Caenorhabditis elegans: one gene and its partners. The protein of the gene in region 1 purifies or fractionates together with the protein of each later gene. This does not show direct contact. Each region holds a gene or a part of one and is shown in the gene's direction. Other genes may lie near its edges. The genes, in order: D1022.4, upp-1, C37H5.13 and gst-42.

Evidence for each region.
Region 2: the proteins of D1022.4 (region 1) and upp-1 fractionate together in Caenorhabditis elegans (co-fractionation; one large-scale study listed by BioGRID). This does not show direct contact.
Region 3: the proteins of D1022.4 (region 1) and C37H5.13 fractionate together in Caenorhabditis elegans (co-fractionation; one large-scale study listed by BioGRID). This does not show direct contact.
Region 4: the proteins of D1022.4 (region 1) and gst-42 fractionate together in Caenorhabditis elegans (co-fractionation; one large-scale study listed by BioGRID). This does not show direct contact.

Annotation. Positions count from the first base shown.
Region 1 is NC_003280.10:7,455,632-7,459,380, reverse strand, and holds D1022.4 (Dienelactone hydrolase domain-containing protein), read left to right. Parts: upstream 1-2,088; 5' UTR 2,089-2,094; coding exon 2,095-2,171; intron 2,172-2,216; coding exon 2,217-2,313; intron 2,314-2,416; coding exon 2,417-2,974; 3' UTR 2,975-3,067; downstream 3,068-3,749. Other genes in the region: D1022.5 (Dienelactone hydrolase domain-containing protein), read left to right, coding at 575-651, 1,013-1,569, 1,617-1,714; D1022.3 (Dienelactone hydrolase domain-containing protein), read left to right, coding at 3,172-3,245, 3,424-3,749.
Region 2 is NC_003281.10:7,639,984-7,644,896, reverse strand, and holds upp-1 (Uridine and thymidine phosphorylase), read left to right. Parts: upstream 1-1,795; 5' UTR 1,796-1,805; coding exon 1,806-1,943; intron 1,944-2,665; exon of another isoform or gene 2,666-2,749; intron 2,750-2,826; coding exon 2,827-2,970; intron 2,971-3,017; coding exon 3,018-3,533; intron 3,534-3,580; coding exon 3,581-3,670; 3' UTR 3,671-3,863; downstream 3,864-4,913. Other genes in the region: fbn-1 (EGF-like domain-containing protein), read right to left, coding at 4,341-4,595. UniProt on the Caenorhabditis elegans protein: Catalyzes the reversible phosphorylytic cleavage of uridine and thymidine to uracil and ribose-phosphate or thymine and deoxyribose-1-phosphate.
Region 3 is NC_003283.11:4,856,504-4,864,795, reverse strand, and holds C37H5.13 (Acyl-coenzyme A thioesterase 8), read left to right. Parts: upstream 1-1,830; 5' UTR 1,831-2,064; coding exon 2,065-2,106; intron 2,107-4,271; coding exon 4,272-4,421; intron 4,422-5,342; coding exon 5,343-5,497; intron 5,498-5,613; coding exon of another isoform or gene 5,614-5,665; exon of another isoform or gene 5,666-5,683; intron 5,684-6,158; coding exon 6,159-6,429; intron 6,430-6,477; coding exon 6,478-6,660; intron 6,661-6,875; coding exon 6,876-7,081; intron 7,082-7,269; coding exon 7,270-7,507; 3' UTR 7,508-7,832; downstream 7,833-8,292. Other genes in the region: nex-4 (Annexin), read right to left, coding at 7,833-8,006, 8,243-8,292.
Region 4 is NC_003284.9:11,725,535-11,730,106, reverse strand, and holds gst-42 (putative maleylacetoacetate isomerase), read left to right. Parts: upstream 1-2,170; 5' UTR 2,171-2,310; coding exon 2,311-2,377; intron 2,378-2,427; coding exon 2,428-2,492; intron 2,493-2,536; coding exon 2,537-2,710; intron 2,711-2,801; coding exon 2,802-2,882; intron 2,883-2,931; coding exon 2,932-3,068; intron 3,069-3,492; coding exon 3,493-3,613; 3' UTR 3,614-3,843; downstream 3,844-4,572. Other genes in the region: D1053.3 (Ras family protein), read left to right, coding at 112-244; D1053.2 (Histone-lysine N-methyltransferase, H3 lysine-79 specific), read right to left, coding at 1,364-1,366, 1,441-1,547, 1,602-1,956.

The DNA of each region.
Region 1 (3,749 bases):
TTTTTGAAAACTGTACAGTATGGCTTAAGAGAACCTCATTGAAACACTCATAAAAGATCTGAATAAAAGCCAGACGCATAGTTTTCTAACAAATTTTTAAAAAAATTCAAAGCTGGTTTTTTTTTCAAATAAATATAAAATTAAAATGAATATCTTTACAAAAATAGACTGGAAAATCTCTAATAAATGCAAATCCATTTGTGCCAACAATTTCTCCAAACAATAACATGATTTCTGTGGTTTCATTATGCAGAGCGTGTAGAGACAACTACCTCAGAACTGTCAGAACTGTCAGAGTAACATTTACATGTCAGGGACAATGCTAATTTCATATCTAATTTTGTGACTATATCGTTATAAATTGTTATTCCAGTATTTAAGATTTGTGATGCGACCGTCTCGTACGACAGTTTTTGGATGTATGGTGAAGTTGGTCACAAAATAATGTGTCCTTATTTTGTGCTCATCGGAGAGATTTGGAGAGCCTAGAGAAACACAAAATTCAGGAAATTTCTTATAAAAGTAGTTGAAACAACAAAAGTGAAAGTTGTTTTATTGGTGTCGCGAAGGCAAGATGTCTGTTACTCATAGTCAACTTCAATACACAGATTCCAATGGAAAAGTGTACGAAGGAGATCTTTATGTTCCAAGGTTTGTATAAATTTAAAGTTTATGTGAATTTTGCCGGAAGATTGAATTTTAGCATGAATAATAAAAGTGTGTGCGGATTAGATTGTTTTTCCTTCCACCAGTCGGATAGGTTTGCATTTGTTGACTTTCTGTTGTGTGGTGTTTTTTTGTGACAAACGATTGCCTCAACTTTATTGAAATTAGGGATTTTAAACAAATTAAAAATTTGAATCTATGTTGTAAATTTTCGATAAATGTTATGCAATATTAAATTTACTTAGCATACGAAATCTGATTGATGATTAGAATGGTAACATTTGACATCAACATAGTATCAGACTGGTTTAACTAATTATCAAACCAAACTTGTTATTTATTCCAGAACAACTAGAATGAGAAAACTTCCCGGTGTCCTTGTGTTCCCTGCATTCCGCGGAATCACCGAATTTGAAAAAGAAAAAGCGAAGGCTCTTGCTCAGGAGGGCTACATCGCATTGGCAGCTGATCCATTTGGAAAGGGAATTCATCCAAAAGACAAAGCAGAATGTTTTGCAATTGTACGCCCAATGATAATTGAGAGGAGTAAACTATTAAAGTGTGTAATAGTCGCGGCATTTGATGCCATAAAGGCTGTTCAGTGTGTAGATGTTAATAAAATTGGAGCACTTGGATTTTGTTTTGGAGGCCTATGTGCGCTTGATCTAGCCAGGTACAATGTTGGACTGAAAGCAGCCATTTCATTTCATGGCACACTGACTCCAATACCTGATGCTCCACTTGATAAGATTATTGAAACAGCTGTCCAGGTTCATCATGGAGATTCGGATGCTCATATTCCAAAAGAACAAGTCGATGGATTCCACGTGGAGATGAGAACTCGAAATGCGGATTTTGTGTTTTCCAGTCATGCACATGCTGAACATGGATTCACAGAGCCAGGTAGAAATAGTTTACGAATAACTTTACGATATATTTTTATTTTTCAGATGCTGATTCTTTCGGACTTCCCGGAGTTAAATATAACAAAAAAGCTGCGGATCGATCATGGGCATCTGCTTTGGCTTTATTTAAAGAAATATTTTAAATCTCATATTATATGCATTATTTAAATTTATATAAATTTTCATGAAAGAGAAAGAAAAATATTTGTTATTTTTAATCAGATTCAGATAACTTCAAAATTTTGGCTCAGTTTTTATGGCTTTGAACACAGTTTAAAGTCTTAATAGAGATGTAGTTTATATTGATCATTTTTGTGACAACTTTTTGGTTTGTGAACTTTCCCGAAACTATGTTTGCTACGCACTAATGAAACGTAGAGACCCAGAGAGAAAAAAACGAAAGGTCATAAATATAGCAGTTATAATGGTAATAGAGACGATACGCAGACAACGTCAAACCCCAAAAGGTATACATATATATTGACCGTCTTAGATAACTCTTGTTAGTTTTCTTCTTTTCGAGATGACCGTTACCACGAAACTTATTGATTATTCTGATGAGGAAGGTAATAACTTTGAAGGAGTTCTTTATATTCCAAAGTTTGTTTTTTATTTTTTATTTTCATTTTTTATTTATTTTTGTAGGAATGTAAAACAGTCAAAAGTTCCCGCCGTACTGATTTTCCCAGCTTTCCGAGGAATTACGCATTTCGAAAAGGACAAAGGCCAACAAATTGCCGAGGTTACTTTAAAGTCTATATTTAGTAGGTTTTACAAAATCAGGAAAACTATAACAGCTGCATTCTCAGGAATATGCTGATTTAAAAAAAAAGACCAAATTTTAGCTTGGATTCGTTGCTTTTGTTGCTGATGTCTATGGAAAAGGTGTGAGACCAACTGAACGAGCAGATGCATTTGCAACAATGGGACCGCTTGTTTCCAATCGCGTTGAGAAACTGAAACCAAGACTTTTTGCCGCTGTCAATACTTTGAAGACTTTCTCTGAAGTGGACACCTCAAAAATTGCAGCAATCGGATATTGTTTCGGTGGGCTTTGTGTTCTCGATTTGGCAAGATACAATGCTGGACTCAAAGGAGTTGTATCCTATCATGGAACTTTGAAACCAATTCCTGATATTGCTCTAGATCCAATTGTTGGAACAACTGTGTATGTTCATCACGGAGACGCAGACTTCCATATTGCAAAAGATCAAGTTGATGGATTTCATGAAGAAATGAGAACTCGTCAAGCTGATTTTGTCTTTGTATCGCATGCAAATGCAGTTCATGCTTTCACTGAGCCAGAAGCTGACAGTTTCAATGCACCAGGAATTGGTTACAATGAGAAGGCTGCAAAAAGATCATGGAATGCAACTCTCGACTTGTTCAAAGAAATCTTCTAATGTTGTACTGTACACTACGATCACAAAATTTTGTGACTTTTCTATCTCTCCGTCGTAACAAACCTGTTTGAAATAAATATGATAAGTAAATGTATAAAAGTATTTATTATGATCATTTTGTCATTTTTTGCAGAACTTTTTCTGATTCTATAAATTTTAAAGTTCAGATTTCATAGCTTTTTTCCGAATTGAAAGCTATGTCGATTCATCAAACTATTGATTATGAAGATGCGGATGGCAATTTATTTTCAGGAGAGCTGTATAAACCAAGGTTATTATTTGATTGTTTACTTGTTAAATGAAACCGTTGAACACTATGTATATCTAAAATAGATCTAAATTGATTTCAACAAATAAGAGTTTTCAAGTTATATCCGATGTCTGTGATAATTGATAATTGATATTTTAAGATTTTTGAAAAGTTTGAAACTATAATTCAATGTTTTCAGCTCCGATAACTCTACTAAACATCCCGGCGTTTTGATTTTCCCTGCATTCCGAGGAGTGTCCAAACTGGAAATTGCAAGGGCAAAATTATTGGCTGAAGAACATGGATATGTAGCTCTTGTTGCTGATATTTATGGAAAAGGAATTAGATGCACAGACATCTCATCGGCAGTGACACTGCTCCGTCCTATGACTAGCGATAGAAATGGAAAGTTGAAACCAAGATTAGAAGCTGCTTTAAATGCCTTGAAATCTGTTCCATGTGTAGATAAACAGAAGCTCGGTGCATTTGGATTCTGTATTGGAGGACTGTGTTCCCTGGATTGTG
Region 2 (4,913 bases), on another chromosome or scaffold:
AAAATTAATTTTCAAAAACTTTATTTTTAGCATTTTGATGAGATTGCAAATTTAAAATTGAATCTTTTGAAATTATCAACGTTTCTTTTTGAATTCTAACAATAATATGTTGGCAGTCAAAATTTGAAAATTTGAGAACGATGCTCAATAAATTTTTGTTCAGGTTTCAAAAAACTGGAAGAAGCCAGCTTTGAAAGAAATGACGAGTTGGAAACTACAGTACCCATAAAAACGAAAAATCTTTCGCATTTGAAACTCATGCCCTTTTTCGGCAACTCGGCAACCGATTTTTGTGACGTTGTGAGACTACTGTAGACCGAATTTCCAAATATTCAGTGTCACTTAAAAATCATGATAACAATTGATAAGATCACCCCTCATAACTGTGTCCCGTTGACTTTATCATTTCCGTCTTTTTTCGTCATCTTCTTGCGCCACGTGCTGTCTCTTTCGCAGAATCATTGTTATAATCTCGCCATCTTTCATGATTGAAATTTATTGTCAATGTGTTCAGGAACTAGCCTTTTATTTACGATGACAAATAGATGAAACACTGGGGACACTAAAAGCGTAGTTTTGAACAATCAACACCATAAAACTATAAATGAACAAAGTTGGCAGCAAGAATTATCAGCATTATCAGGAGAAAGAACTTTTTGTGCAGATAAGAAACAATTGAACGCGGAGATCAGAATGACATGATTATTATTATCTGTATTCTTACCGCAAACTTTTAAAATAATAATTGAAACAAAAAAGATTCTCGCAAAATTGTAATATTCAAAGTTCGCGCGTTTTTATCTGTCTGCATGTCGACGTGTCGGTGTTTGCACACTTACGCTACATCTTACGACAGGTGTTTTCAAACTCTCGCGAATTTATTTTTTTCCTTCGAAATCATCGAATTTCTTCCATTTAAGTCTAAAAACTTCATATTTTCAGTAAGATAATTCATTACTATTAATATCCAAAGTTTATATCATGTGGTGCTTGAACAAACTGCTGGTGCGAAAAGTTTAAATCAAATAAAAGCAAATCCTTCGTTGAAAACAATCGGAGATTTTCGATTTTCCACGTGGAAACTGTTCTAAACTGCGTCACCATCGTTTTGTTTGTCTTTATTGTCTCAGAAAGTTCAGTTCCTGTTGACTTTTTTACTCAAATTTCAAAACTTTGTCCTTTTACTCAATTTTTCTGACTTGTCGAAGCTTCTTCACAGAAACTGTTTGTTACATCACCACGCTTTCTTTTTTCCGCAAAATAATTTTTCTTTCCATCTATTTCCAATCGTTCCGCCCATTTTCTCGACGAAAACAAAAAAAAAGATAGATAAAAAGGGAGGAGTTTCGAGGTTACTTGCTTTACGGAATAAAAGTTTCATTTTCTCAATATTTTCATTTGGAAATTTGTGAGTTCTTTTTCGTCTTTATATATTAGAGTGATTTTGCTTATTTCAGATTGAAAAATAATTGTTTCACTTTTCTTTTAAATTTCAATTTTTCTCTGAGGTGTACTAAAAGTCTTGGTAGCAAAGGTAGAATCTCGTTTTTCTCGTTTTTATTATTTATCACGTAGCCTGGAGCTCACGAGTTGTCCAAATTGGATTTGAGTCCTTTTTAAGCATCTCTAACCGTCTACTCTCTCTGCTCTCTCCTCGTCTCTTTTGGAGTGCCCTTTTCTTATTCTATGTGATACTGACGACATTTAGCACGCGTATTCTGGTTCCTGTTTTTGTTTTGCTCTCTTTTATTCATGAAGTTTTTTTTTTCATTCCTATAAGTTGGAATTTTTTCAGATCCATCAAGATGAACGGACTTGTCAAGAACGGAAATGTGGAGAAGCCAAACAAGTACTTCGATATCAAGGATAAAAGAGATTTTCTTTATCACTTTGGTTTTGGAGTCGACACTCTCGATATTCCAGCAGTTTTTGGAGATACCAAGGTTGGTTCTACAAAGTCTAGAAAAAATTGAATAAGTGAAAAAGTTCCCTCATTAGTTTTAATATTAGTTCACTCCTAATCTTCGAGAAATGTTCCACTTTAAAAATCGTTTACTATATATAAAGCGCGTGTCCTTCTGTCCCTATGTAGTTTGATCTCTGATCAGAGCAACGAAATTTTGGGAAACCTTATGCTAAGTGCGCAGCAGGCATCGATCGAGGTCCGCGATAGACACCGTATATCTAATGTGTTTTCTCAAAGAAGTCGGGGGCCGCGCCGTAGGTGCGGTCCACGGCTGGTGATTCATAATGTTCCAAAAAATATGAGAAATAATCCATTTATGTCTTCACTTCCCAGGTAGAATGATGCAACAGTTTTCTCTATTCATACATATCGATCAACAGAACAAACACAAAAATATATTCATTCATTTGGCGCTTTTATTTCTTCAATTTTTTGACCCGTTAGTTGTCATGCGAGTTTTCTTCTTTTTGAATTATAAATTTGCATAGCCACGCGCCTCCTGGTGTCCAATTTCAATAGAGGGTAAATATAATTTGAATCGATACCAACACAAAACGAATCTAGAATTTTCAAGAGCTACATATTCCTCACTGATAAGTTTATCTCTCTCCTAGGGCGGGTAATACTTCTAGCCAATTGTTACACAAGCGCCCTTCGTGTCATAGGAATGTCTATGTCTTTACTGCACGTGTCAAACACGCTCCGTTGTGGTCTAGTGGTTAGGATTTATGGCTCTCACTCATAAGGCCGGGGTTCGATTCCCCGCAACGGAAGATTTTTTTTGTTTTTATAGGTGTTGTGTGCCGAAATTGAATCATTTTAGTGAATAATAATTTGCACTATCATTAAGTTAATTTCAGTTCGTCTGCACTGGAGGATCTCCAGGACGTTTCAAGTTGTATGCTGAATGGTTTGCCAAAGAGGCCAATATTCCATGCTCTGAAAATCTCTCACGGTCTGACCGTTTCGTGATTTACAAAACTGGACCAGTTTGCTGGATCAACGTATGTTATTTTGAGGCGACAATTATTTGACAAAAATAAATTTACAGCATGGAATGGGAACCCCATCTTTGAGCATCATGCTCGTCGAATCTTTCAAGTTGATGCACCATGCTGGTGTTAAGAACCCAACTTTCATTCGTCTTGGAACATCTGGAGGAGTCGGTGTTCCACCAGGAACTGTTGTTGTGTCAACTGAAGCCATGAATGCTGAGCTTGGAGATACCTATGTGCAAATCATCGCAGGAAAAAGAATTGAGCGGCCTACTCAACTCGATGCCGCACTCCGCGAGGCTCTTTGCGAAGTCGGAAAAGAGAAAAGCATTCCAGTTGAAACTGGAAAAACCATGTGCGCCGACGATTTCTATGAGGGACAGATGCGTCTTGATGGATACTTTTGCGATTACGAAGAAGAAGACAAGTATGCTTTCTTGCGGAAGCTAAATGCTCTTGGAGTACGAAATATTGAGATGGAGTCAACTTGCTTCGCCAGCTTCACGTGTCGCGCTGGATTCCAGTCTGCTATTGTCTGCGTCACTCTTTTGAATCGTATGGATGGAGATCAGGTAATATTTTGATTCTTATTGACAGTCTTCAATTATAACATTTATAGGTTCAAATCGCCAAAGAGCAATATATTGAATACGAGGAACGTCCATTCCGCCTTGTAACTGCCTACATTCGCAAGCAGACCGGGATCTAATAATCTTAAAATCAAGATTCTCAACTAATTGCTTTCCATGTTTCCTTACCACACGAATAGTATTCATATATTTTCTCTAATGCACCCCTCTCTAACTAACCCTTCTCTTCTAGAATAATGTGATTCTGTTTGGTTTCATTTCAGTCGAAATATGAAAGAAAGTTTATGTAAATAAATAAAGGTTTTGATTTTCTTTCTTTAAAAAAATTATCTTGATAATTTATGGAAGACATGTTGAAGAACTTTACAGAAAAAAAATCACAGAAAAAAACACGCAAAAACAAGGGTTTTTTGGAAAGGCACAAATTAAAAGAAAATTGAGAAAAATTGGAAAACGAGGCACACGTAATGGTAGAGAAAAGCTGTAGAGATGTGATAAATACGATAATTAAATAAAAAGTTTAGAAAATTAGAAATTATCAAATAAAATTTTAAAACAAAAGAGAAAATTCTGTTTGGTTTCGATCAAAACCCTGAGCAATTTGTTAGTGTTGTCGGAGATTTCAGAGAAGTTTTGGGGGATTTAAAGAATAAAAAAGTAGGTAAATAAAATAACAAAAATATTGGAATGTAACAAGTATGTAGCAAGTGATTGAAGATTTCTTATCAGTGCAGTGATAAGAAAATACGAAAATATGAATTACCAAAACAATATTTTGAAACAATCAATCTAGAATCTCAGTTCTGATTCCAGATCAATTGTTTTTGGTTTCTTAGAGCACAAGTACAGTAATATCGCTGAGCAAACTGCAAATGAGCCCAATGCGATGAGTAGTGGAGCCATTTTCACACAAATCGATTTTGATTCCTTTGACGTGGCATCCACATGGGATGATGTGACGTCATCGTCATCAGATGTATTCATATCATGAGAATCATGGACATTGATGATAGATGAAACTGCTAGGGATTCAACTCCGGACATCTGGAAAATGTGTTTTTAGAAGAAATGTTTGAAGTGACAATGAGATCTAGTAAGACTGCCGCAAAAATGTATATCTGCTTACACTACGACCTACGCCTGCCTCGTGCCTGCATTAGTATCTGTTTTGCCAAATCACGCGTATTTATTGCCAGGATGCAAAGTTTTTAGGTTTTGTAGTACTCGGTCCGATTTAAGCGTCCGATTTTTCAAAGTGCAAAATAGTGTGCGCCTTTAGGAGTACTGTAAGTTCTAGCTTTTATCGCTCTTTCTCGCTTTTTGAACAGAATATTTTTGATGCAAAAAGCGCCAAAATTCCGC
Region 3 (8,292 bases), on another chromosome or scaffold:
TCTTCCTATGTAATAGATGATAGAATAAAACATATTAAACATATTAAACATATTATTCAATCCGGCCATCAAGTATTAGAAAATTTGATGTAATTTTCCAAAACAGCCAAGATTTTGGAGGAGCCTATAGGCCTATAATTATAATTAACCTAAATTTTTTTTTAATATAAAGCCGTGCACATATTGTATAAAATCTGCAATTTGTGTTCAATTCCCTATGATTGGTATCCCATTGATTTTCCGGATCTACTTTTTCTGCCCCTCCTGACACTGATTCAGAACACATGTCAAGATTAAAAGTCCTAACTAATTTCCGGTTTTCTCTTCCATCTGAAAGTTTTTATTAACGCTTACGTATTCAATAGAATTTCAATTCCCCGGGTTTCCGACTTGTTATGGCTGAAAAACACTGAAATTAACAAATGAAGCGGAAGAAAATATTGAAATTGAATTTCATAGGCTACATTGTAGCCAGTCTAGTCTTCTGTTGAATTTCTCATTCTCATTTTTATTAGGTACATTTGGGTTCAAGAATTTCCTCTGCAATATTTATCACCAGATTTTCATCATATTTTTAAAACTGGAGGAAAACATTTGAAGGAAATTTATTTCCACCTCGATACTTTGATCGAAAATCTTGAAACACTTTCCGCAAAATTTTCAAAGTGTTCGATATTTTTCTCAGATAGCACTTTAAGTTCATTCTCGGGCGCAAACAAACTCTCTGCAAAAATAAATGACGAATTTTTATTTGCCTTTCAAAAACTCTTCTTTTTTCCTCAATCGTCTGATTTTCCAACAACAAAGCTGTGATTTTCAACGAAAGTACTTTTTTCTCTAGGAATCTTTATTAATTGTTTAAATATATATTTTATTCTAAAAATTAAAAATTGTTTGATATGTGGTATTTGCTTCTCATTGGAACAAAATCCACAAAAATAAGTGGGTTTCAGAGATGGTAAATATCTTTGAATTTTCATTTTCTATACTTAAAGAATGAAATCCTTTTAAGTAAGTTCATCTGAAACTTTGTAGATCAGTACTTTGAAATAATTTTTAAAAATATTTCAAAGAAGTTTTCTTAATCTTGATTGTAGACATGTTCGTAAAAAACTTGAGTTAGTAATTTATTTTAAATCTCAAAAGTAGTGAAACACGATTTCAGGTTTAATTTTTTCCTAGTTTCAAGTGCTCATATGCAGCTGAATTTTATTTAGAGTCATGTTTAAAGAATTTTTCTTCGAATGCCATAGGTTTCATTTTAATGTGAAAGTATAATCTCTCAGAAACAGTGAGTAGAAAAAGTATAATAATAAAAATGTTTGCCGAAGTTTTTAGTTTCAGAGTTATACTCATTCAAAACTGTTGGCAAATCACCGGGAAACCGAAAACGCATACACTTTCCGGTGGCCTGTACCTAGTAGAGACGTGCGGCAAACCTCAAAATTTTCCGAGCTCGGCAAATCCGGCAAATTTGCCAAACTCTACAAATTCGGCAGGTCTACATTTACCGCACGCGCCTGATACCTTTTTTTTCTTTGCCAGTCAAAAATTTTACCTCTTTCCTTTTTAACTTCGAAATTGCGGTAAATCAACCTAGATTTACTCCAATGAAAATTGTAACCATTTTATAAATTTACAGTGAAAGTTTTTATGTTCTAAATGAATAATTTCTGACAACACTGTTTAGCCTAGCTGCACTGAATTTTAAACTCAAAATCAATATTTCATCTTTTGAAACACTCTCGGTCTGCAAAAAAAAATTCCTCCTAGACAAGTCACCAGCGTGTAGTTGTTCTCTAAAATTGCGTCATTTCTATCGTTTCGACTACACACATAACGTGTAGTCACTGGTCTCATCGGTCAGTCGTTCGCTACCAAACAAACACTTTTACGTCTAAACCTCCACGTTTTTAGAGATCTCTCAATCTCAGCGGGCCCTCACTTAAGAACTCGTATTTTTAAAGAAAAGCTAATATCATCTTTTATTTCATTTCTAATATTTACTGGGAGAGAAAAGACGAGTTTTTGTTGCTCTTTCGAATTTTTGTGGAACAATAGAAGATGCTAGTCGGATGCAGGACAGCTCGTCATTTTGTAAAATCGGTGAGTTTTTCTTTTGAAATTTGAGCAATTTTTTTAATACTAGAAATAACTTTTGATCGGGAATTTAATTGGAAATAAATGATTAGCAAAGATGTTAATCTTCATTTCCTCAGTTTAATCCAATAAAACTTATTAATAAATAAAATGAAAATTAGATTTTCTGATTTGCAGAATTAACGTGCACTTTCTTCTTATCAAATCTTGGAATTAAAACACAATTCTTAGTCGAAATGTTTTTTTTTGCAATTCCATGTTTTGTGTAGTTGCCCGATCGCGTTTTTTTTTGCGATTTTTGCGCAAAAAAATACGGTAGCCGGGCTCACCACGACAATTTTATTTGATGCCAGAAAGTGAGCGCCTTTAAACTCTCGTTTCTGAGTAATTTTGCTCAAACTCTATAGATTTCACACTTGCAAAAAAAATTGTGTAGCATAGGTATACTTGAAATCATTTTGTATAACTTTCAATGCGAATTTTTTTGAATGTTAAGTTGAATTCAAATAGAATGTGTGCAACCAAATTAAATGTTTGGTTTCCCAACAAAATTTTTCTTTCACTTCCTCCTGGTTTCCTTCGTCTATCTGCTCTATTGATTCCCATTATTTTGTCTAGTATGGCGTGACAGATTGTCTCTCCTTTTCCTCTTTTTCCAATTTAATTAACGCCTAGCCAGATACACTTCTGATTCCCTTTTGCTCATCGGAGCGTGTCCCCCCCCCCCCCCCAGCTTGCAGACTGAACATTTGTTCGTAGAGTTGGCTCCTCTGTTTGCTGGCAGATTTTCTAGCAGAGTTATTCTCTTCTTTGTTTTTTTTATTTTTAAAACTAAATTTAGAGATCTTCTTCAGTACTTTTTAACTTTGGAGTTTTTGAAATCCCTTTTAATATCGTTTAAAAAATTTCATAATTTTTAAAATCAAATACCGTCATATATTTTATGTTTTGCAACAAATCACACGATTTCTGCCAAATTCCCTGAACAGCGCATCGTAAAAACAATATTTCATGTCAAACATTTGCATACGTACCAGTTATATTGTTTTATAGAAATGTCAATATGTTGCATTTCTCACGAATGTGATATGTGATCTTTTGTTCAGAACTTTGTGTTTTGATTTTGTTGCTGCAAGATTTTCTGATCATTTTAAAACAACAGAAAAACAACAGTCAAAAGAGTAGTCTAGAACCGAAAATTTAACGAGAACTGAATTTTTTTCTTTAGCTTGTAAAATTTAAAATGAGAATTCGTGTCAACGTGTTCATTATTTCAAAAAAAAAGAATATTTATGATTTAGAGAAGCAAAAATGCTAGAATTGTAGATATTTTTGAAGAAAAGTTATTGAAATTTACTTTTGAAAATTTGGGGTTTTTTATGCAGATTTTCCAATGTAGCTAATCAATAAATTCTTTTAAAAACTATATTTATTTAATTAAAATTAGAATACAGTTAGCTAAAAAATTTTAAAAGAAAATTCTTTTGTTACTAAAATGTTTTCACAAAAACTTTCGTTTTTTTAAACTTACAGTGAAAAAGTTTTCTACGGATATTAAATTTAATTTTTAAATACTTTGAATACTTGTATAAAGCATTGTGCAGTTCGAACATTAACACAAAATTTGCAAAATTACCCAAACGGTGTCTGAAAATTTTAGGAGTATTTTATCATAACAATCAGCAATTTTAAAATAATTTGACAATTTTTTAGGTTCTATATATGAATATAAATTTTTCGGTGTGAATTTTTAGAATTGAGATTTCAATCGGGGAACCATTTTCCAATTTCTCACCACTTTGTGCAAATTTCCGGTAAATTTCTATCGAGCCTTGATCATCCGAATCCTAATCTTTATCCAATTCATTTCCAAATCCCAAATCAAAAGTTTCCGTCGTCTCTGTTTCCTTCTAGTCATCCTATCCTCACCCCACATTTGCTTGTCCTTCATGTTAATCCGTGTCGAGCCTTCTTCTCCCCGTCTTTTCTTGTCTGCGTCTCTTCACTCTCACATCGTCCTTCCTCAATTCCTCTCCACACTCTTTTTCCCTTCAGGCCCTTCAAGCGGTGGAGGAAGAAATTTCAATGTTTTTTGTTCCCCTTGTGCGTTTGTGTTCGTTTTTATGTCAAGTATTTTCCGAAAAAAAAAACAAATTCCATTTTTCTTCCAGACTGCACGTCGGTTCATCGAACAGAAACGTTTGGAAAGCTTGACAACGGGCAACGGTATGTCATCTCCTTCCTCAACTCACGCAAACACTGCTCCAGTCGTGCAGAGCCATTTTGCGCACAGACCACAGCACGTCAGCTCGGCCCCCTCGGTGAGTCTATAGCCTTTCAAGTTTCATAGATTGTAGAGCGCAGAGTAGTTATTTTCAATTAAAGTACATTTTGAGTATTTTGAAACAATTTTCCTTCTTCTTTTTTTAGAATTCTTTGACCGTAAGCTACATTTTTGAAATTAGGACTTGCTTTTATTAGAATTGTCTATTGAAAAGTGCCAAATATTATAGTTAAAATTTTTCGAAATTTTATTGAGTGGTGGAAACTTCATAATTTTGAAAGTCGACCAGAAAGTTGTTCTAACTTAAAATTTGTATTGTAAAATTGTAAAGTTTGAACAGTTGATTTGAAACATTGTTGAAGTTTAAACGTGCATCAACGCTAAGAATAAAATTACTTGATAATCTACTTTTTTGGTAGATTTGGCAACTTACCAAAATTTTGACTGACAATTTTGAAAACATAATTTTGAAACTGTGCGGAGTGTTTAAGTGTGATATATGGTATTTTATAACAATAACAAGTGTTTTATAAAATTTAAACATCACTGACGATACCCTTAACTTGTTGAAAAAGGTTTTTAAAAACATTGATAAAAACATAAATTTGAAAAAAAAATTTTTGATCTACTTTCAAAATTACTTGTAGCGCTAAGCCCCTTTTTAACTGGAAAAAAATTATTTCTGAAAATTTTAGAATAGTTTTACTAAGCTTTTTTAAAATAATTTTAGCAGTATAGAAATGATTTTAACTATGGCCCTACTGGCACAACTTCAGTTCCAAAAATTAAAGCAGCCACCTTTTTTTTTTGATTTTTCATGTTTCTCAAAGGAATTTTTTAAGGGTTTTTAAATAATTTTATCGTGAAAACCTGTAATAACCATGCTTCACGCAAGCCACGTTGTCGCTTATTCCAACTCTTCAATCTTCCCCACAAATCCAAATTTCACTCATTGCAGCGCTCAATGGAAATTGACGATCAGAACGGTGTTCAACACTATCCGATGCTTCTCAACGTCACCCACATTGACATGACGTCCCGTGCCGATGACATTCGTGCCGGGCTTATCGACACGTTTTTGAATCTGGAAAGAGTGGACAAGAACTTGTATTTGTGAGTTTTTTTTTGCTGATATTTTCTGTGTATCTGATAAATTTTTGGTGCGGGAAAACGTATGAACCTGAAAATCTAAATTATTTTTTGTATTTGTTGGATGGGAAATAATTCAGAACTTATTTCCCCCCGACAATCGAGGAATTTTTCTACGGCTGGCAAAGCTGACGTCCGGTTCTTTTTTTGGTGATTAATCCAATACGGTTAGGTTTTTGCGTTGTAGGTCTGTGGAAAGGGCCGCGCGGGTCGTCCCGCCAAAGCTTCTGATGTTTTGACCCAAAAAATGTTATTGACTTGTTTTTGAGCTGGTAGTGAATTTCATAACCGTGTCCCGAAATATCAGTCGGGGACGCTAGTAGACAGAGGCTCCCTAGAGGACGAGCCTCTGTTTTGCGACGGGTCTTTTCACAGGCCTAGCTCGTTGAATCAGTTGCCCGCTACTCGCCCGCACATTACCCTATGTTCCCCTACCTACGTGCCTCCCCGCCAGCCTACCTGCCTGCTGTATGTTTATTTATAGGTGCCTATCGGAGTTTTGTAATTGCCTACTGAATTCCTGTGTCTTGAGCAACCGGATTCAGAATTTTCCTGAGTACAGTCGAAAACGTCGGGTTTCACCCAATTTTCGGTTTCTAATTTTTCAATAATCCTCTAAATTCAGGGCTCGTCACTTGCTCAAAGGCCGAAACTCTTTGCCAGTTGTTTACGGAGGACAGGTCATCGGACAAGCTCTCTCGGCCGCCACCGCCACCGTCGAAGTCGGCTTCGTTCCAAACAGTCTTCACAGCTACTTTGTTCAAAGTGGCAACGTGGAACGCCCGATTCTATACCAAGTTGACCGCATCAGAGACGGAAAGAGCTTCTGCACTAGATTGGTGAAGGCTCTGCAAGATGGTGAAGCCATCTTCACAGTACAAATCTCGTTTCATAGAGTGAGAGTAATTTTATGAGTTTCCATGATTAATAAATTTTCGTTTCAGCCAGAAGCGGATTCCATTGTCCACCAGTTGCCAATGCCCGAGGTTCCGGCTCCAGATAGTCTCGAGGATCTTTCGGACACTTTTGAGAGAATCAAGAAGAATGCTAACATTCCTCCAGCTGCACTTGCGATGATTGGATTCAAGCAAAAGGAAATTCCACCCGCATTCTTCAGAATCTTTTCGGTTAGTGAGTGCATCGAATGAGCATATTTGCAAAATTTGGAACCTGTAGAATCTGCTATAACTGACTATGAGATCGTGGCGAGACCCACTCAGAAAACAGCGTGTTTTCCCAAATTTACGATACTCAGCTTAAACAGCTTGAACAAGAATTTCCAAAGTACAATCTTGACAGTGAAAATACAGTAGTTTAATCTTGTCAACTAAAACATTTTCAGTTCCGCCCAGTCGACATTGACTCATACCTTTGTCTGAAAAAAGACGATCATACGGCTGGACATGGCCATCCAACTGATGCCTACCGATCGTACGTCTGGATTAAAGCAAACGAGAACATTGGGGATGATCCACGACTTCACTTGGCTGCTGCTGCATACATTTCGGATGCAACGATGATTGAAACTGCATTGAGACCTCATTCGAAGTAGGTTTGATATTGTTAAATGTTTAAGTACAGTAGGGGTACTGTAGTAGTACTGTAGTTTGGGGAGAAATGAGTTTTTGACTTTTGGAGTAGGGGTACTTTGATATCTGCAGCTAATGGTTTATAAGTTTGACCACCAATTAAGGATCCAATCATTTATTCCACATACATTTATCATCTCCTTCCAGACGCGGCTTCATCCCATCAATGGCTCTCACTCTTGACCACTCGATTTGGATGCACACTGACAACTTCCGTGTCGACGACTGGATGCTCTATGAGAATCACTCAACGATTGCCGGTGGCGGACGTAGTCTTATTGAAGGAAAGCTGTGGACCAGAGACGGACGTTTGGTGTTCTCGACCACACAAGAAGCGCTGATCCGAACCGCTAAGAATCGTCCAAATGCGTCTCCTGCCAAATAATAGTAATAATGAAACTTGGAATCTTCATTTATTTATTGTACATCTTTTTTTTTGAAACTTCGATCAAAAATATAAACGGACATTCGTGTAGTGTTAAGTGTAGTTTTAAGTTTTTCTTTTGAATGATCTCTTTCTTTTTTAAAAAAAAAAGTTTTTTTAGTTTTTTTTTGTTTGTATTTTTTCAGTACAGTTTTGATACATTTAAGAAATGTGAGAAATTAAAGAGATAAGTTTGAAATTTTTAGGTCAGCGGGCATGAGGGTATGTGTTGATTTGTAATTTGATTAGATGAGGAAGAAATTGATAAATATGTACAAAATGAAAATTATTCTTCAATTGATTCTGGTGTCGGCGCAAAACTGTTCTCCAAATTGTTGAATCCGCTGAGAAGTGTGCAAATCATTCGGGTATATTCCCCAGAAGTTGATTGGCAAATGTCGTGCTCCAGAGGGCGTTGATATTTTCGCTTGTACTCGAGAGAGATGTCTTGTAAGTCAATCTGAAAATATTGAAAGATTTATTTAGGGATTTCCACAATTACGTATTTATTCTTTTGTAAAACCTTGAATATAATTTAAAGGAAGAACGGGCAAAATCGGCCAAATGCAGCGATTTCCTATTTGGCGCCGGTCGTGTTTTCGTGGCGAGACCTACACGCCCTCGAACCTTTACTTTATCCCACAAATGGTTTAGTTTTGATTCCATTATGACTCTTTCAAAGCTCTTATTACTCACCTCACTACGACTAACGCAAATCCGAATAATCGTTGACTGGTCGACACGTT
Region 4 (4,572 bases), on another chromosome or scaffold:
TTACAATTAAGAACAAACAAGTACTTGAAGATGGTCACGAAAACTTAACAAAAAATATTGTTCACTTCTGCGAACAAGCTGGTAAACACCAAAATTCATTTTTTTTTGCAGCATTCTACGATCGAAATCATCCGACAAATCGGGAGAGAATATGATATTCGAGGCAGTGAATGAGAAAAAGAAAAATGGTAAAAAAGAAAAAGGAGAGAAAGTTGAAGATTCAAAAGTGTGCATCATAATGTAATGTGAGGAAATATGGAATGTCGTTTGATCTCAAATGGGAATAGATAATGCATTGTTTCGTATTATGGAAAAATTACTGAAACACAACTGTACTTAAATTTTAATGTTTCTTTTCTTGGTGAACTTTTCAGTTCTAGTCAGCTCCCCGAACCTCCCGGTAATTTTGAAATGTATGTTTCCAGTGAACTTGTGATATTGATGATAATTGGATTTTATAACAGTAGTTTGTGTATTTGTGTTTTATTAATTTTTGAGATTGGAATAAATAATTTGTAAATAAACATTTTCTCCACTATTACATTTTTGGATGAAATCTTAACTAAAAGAGGGATTCAAAAACAATTTGAAAATAGCATTTCGATGCTTGAAATGTGTAAAATTTTGCGCGGTAGTTCACTGTATTAATATTTTACAAGACTAAAAAAATCCATTAATCACTTTTTGCATATTACTTTACAGTCCAATTAGAAGAAAAGCTCAATACCAACTAATGAATAACCTAATGGAACATACTTTTTTCAAGAGTTTGTTGTATACTGTGAAGTTACAGCGTAGACATTGTTGAAGCAGCCAGACGGATGACATAGGATTGATCACTGAAAAATGACAGATTATCAAAAGACCAGTTTTTAGAACCAGCTTCATCCCAATCCCTAGTCGACTGATCTTTACCTCTCTTGCGTTTCGACTGATTCAGGTCAGAAATAGAAATGTCGTTGATGGGAACTTTTTTGAGAATACTCAATGGACAAATCGATGACGGATTTTAGGATCACAACGACGAGGGATTCAGAGACTTGCGAGGACAGCAGAGAACGGACAGACTAACATGGAAGGACATTTTGAAACGTTTTATAAATAGGACGGTTGATTTAAAAACAACAATTTATTGGACCAACTTGAGTGATAGTACAGATTGCAAGAAGTTGGTTTTTTAAATCATAAACGTGCTACATTGACGCACTGAGAAGAGACTGAGGGGAAAACAAAGGAGATGAAAGATCTATAGGGAGTGAAGGGGAGATCTTAAATAGAAAATACACCGGAAAATCAGAAGTTGACCCGAGCACGAAGACACGTTGATGAGAGAGGAGTTGGGAAGAAGAAAGGGCGTCGACGATCACTGTAAAAAGTTAATTAATATTAGTTCTGATTTTAACCCATAACCGCAAATATTTCTCATATTCACGAACTTACCTTATTGCGGTTGATCTCAGTGAGATAAAACGGAACTTTGTCACCAGTCCAAGACGTATTGTTTTCCACAAGATGAAGAAGACGCTCGTCCGTGATTTTCACAAAATCTGAAAAAGATATAATTAGTATTTTGATGTACCTAACACCTAGTTTCAACTTACCATCGATACGACGAGAAGTCGAGCTTTGAGAACGGGGACGTGGAACAATCGACTCTGATGAAATGATCCGCGTTCCGTCAATGCATTTCGACAAGATCTCTTTCAGCTCCAACTTGAGCTCCGGCGAAAAACGAACGTTGTTCACCACAATCACCGTGGCTTGGGTCTGGATCTCATTAATACGATCCACCAGATATGCTTTTAATGAACGTGTCTCAACGTCGTTTAAATTGAAAAATAGTTCCTGGATGCTCTCAATTTCATTTAAGCACATCAAAGTGCACTGTGTATTTTTATATTGTCTTTGAAAAAATGACTTGGGTACAGCTTGGGCAAGAGTTGGGAGCAGCCTCATAAAAAAAGTCGTGGGCTGCTTGTTCTCTCAAGGCATCGCCCAAGGCTTACCATAGTTTTGTCTACTTCTTCTTATTCCTTCTAATGTTTTTTGAATCTGCATTTCTCTCTTGGTCTACATATGATGTTGGTAATGTATAGTAGAAGACCACGTGTGTCTGCACAATTACACTATCTCTAGTGTTCTGCGTCTGCAATATACAACAACAAAACCATTTCGTCGACATACACCGTCCAATCTTATCAGTTAGTTCGACATCATTCCGTCTTTGACCCTTTTTGTTTATTTTTCAACTAGTCATTATCATCAGTTATTCTTTCTGAGAATTTACAAAATTATTTTCTGCTTGTAGACATGTCCAACCAAAAGCCAGTTCTGTATTCTTATTGGAGATCATCGTGCTCATGGAGAGTTCGCATCGGTTGGTATTTTAATTATATCAATTTTAACTAGCAAAAATGTTATTTTCAGCGCTTGCTTTGAAAAACGTGGACTACGAATACAAAACTGTCGACTTGCTGTCCGAAGAGGCTAAGGTAAGAGAAAATCAAGCGGTTCTTTAAATTATTTTAAAATTTAGAGCAAACTGAAAGAAATCAACCCAGCTGCAAAAGTACCAACATTTGTTGTGGATGGTCAAGTAATTACTGAAAGTCTTGCGATTATTGAGTATTTGGAAGAAACGCATCCAGACGTTCCACTTTTGCCAAAAGATCCAATCAAGAGAGCTCACGCTAGAGCTATTTCTCTTTTGGTAAGTTTTACGTATTTAGTTGGTTTTTTTCTTAACTTTATACTGCTATTGTTTTACAAAAACTGTAACAATTATGTTTTGAGGTTTACAGGTTGCTTCTGGAATTCAACCTCTTCACAATTTGAAGGTTCTTCAACTTTTGAATAAAAAAGAAGCAGGATTCGGAGGACAGGTTTAATTTCAGAATCTTCAATGTATGTTTTCAATTTTTAAAATTTCAGTTTGCCAAACAGTTTGTTGTCGAAGGTCTCACTGCTCTTGAAATTCTTCTAAAGCAACATTCTGGGAAGTATGCTGTCGGAGATGACGTCACGATTGCGGATCTCTCCATCCCGCCACTTATCTACTCAGCTAACCGGTATGATTATAGGGAGGGTCAGGGAATTTTGGACATAGATAACTTTTTGAGAAAATTTATTATGTTTTAGTAATCTATCCAGAATTTCAATGTATTAGTTTGACATTTTGCGTATTCAAAACCTCGAAAATTTGAACACCTTTTGGGTTACCCTCAAACAACACTGACCAATTTTTCATAGACAGTTACTGAATCATCTTAGCAAGTGATTTAAACGAAAACACATTCCTATTGAAAACAACATCCACTTGTGTGGCAACAACCTTTTTATCGGATTCCTGATTCAAACAAAATGTATTAGTCATTCAACAAACATGAATTGGAAGCGATGAGCGTTTAGGATGAGACATGAGAGATTCACAGATAACCATCAGAATAACCTCCCTTCCAAATCGTTCCGATCGCAATCAAACCGTCATTTCAGATTCAACCTCGATTTGTCGCCATACCCAACAGTGAATCGTATCAATGAGACTCTTGCTGATATCCCCGCCTTTATTGCCGCTCATCCTGATAATCAACCAGATACCGGACTCAATGCTTAGATTCTTATGAATGATTGCGTTATTGGATTGGACATACAAGAGTTAACTATTTGAGAATTAAAAAAAAATGTTTCTTTGTCTCTTAAATTAGCACAAAAGTAATAATAAATTTACAACAGAAAATGTCCGCGATATCCTAAAGCAAGTTGCTTTTTTTAACTTTGTAAACTAACTTTTCTCGTTTTCATACTGAGTGTTTTTTTTTCAAATAAATTAATTTCTTAAAAATATTTTGAACTTTATTCAAACGAAATATCCAATGGAAAATTTTTTAGTATGCGAGTTCCACTGATAACTTTTTTGCGTTCAAAAAAAATGTCCTGCTTTGAAGACAGAATTTTTGATGTTTACCTATTTAGAAGTATGTTTCGAAATTCAAGTTAAACAGTTGCAGACCGGAAGCCTCCAAAAGTCATTTTTTTGTCCTCCTCTTCATGACCAAACTCAATCCCTGGGGATTAGCATCTGAAAACCCAATCGGCAATGTTGTGTCATGGAAACTTTTAGAGAACTTTCGGAAGACTTCCGTGCAAAGAGAACGTGTTTTTACGGGCGAGGTTGGCATAGTCATAGTACTAGTTGGTTGCCACCCACAACACAAGCCGGCCTTTCGATTCATCAAAGTATCCGTTTTTTTCACTCTTCTCCTCCCGCATTCTCCCCCTCTTTTCTTTGTCAGTGTGGTCTGCAAAGTTCAATTTCCAACTTTTCTCATTTTCTCTATCTCTGGCTCGCTCTTCGCAGCTCCTTTTCTGCTTTTTTTGTCTTTATGCAACCAGAATCAAGAGGAAAAGAGTGACGAATTAGGTTTAATAAAGGGTGATGTTTGACAACTTTGTCAAAGTGTATACCTCCCGTTGTCAAGGCATTTTTAAGTTACGCCTGCACTGATAAAAATGCTATATATAAAAGAAAACACAACACATTTATTGATTTGAACATCAAATTATTTTGGAATC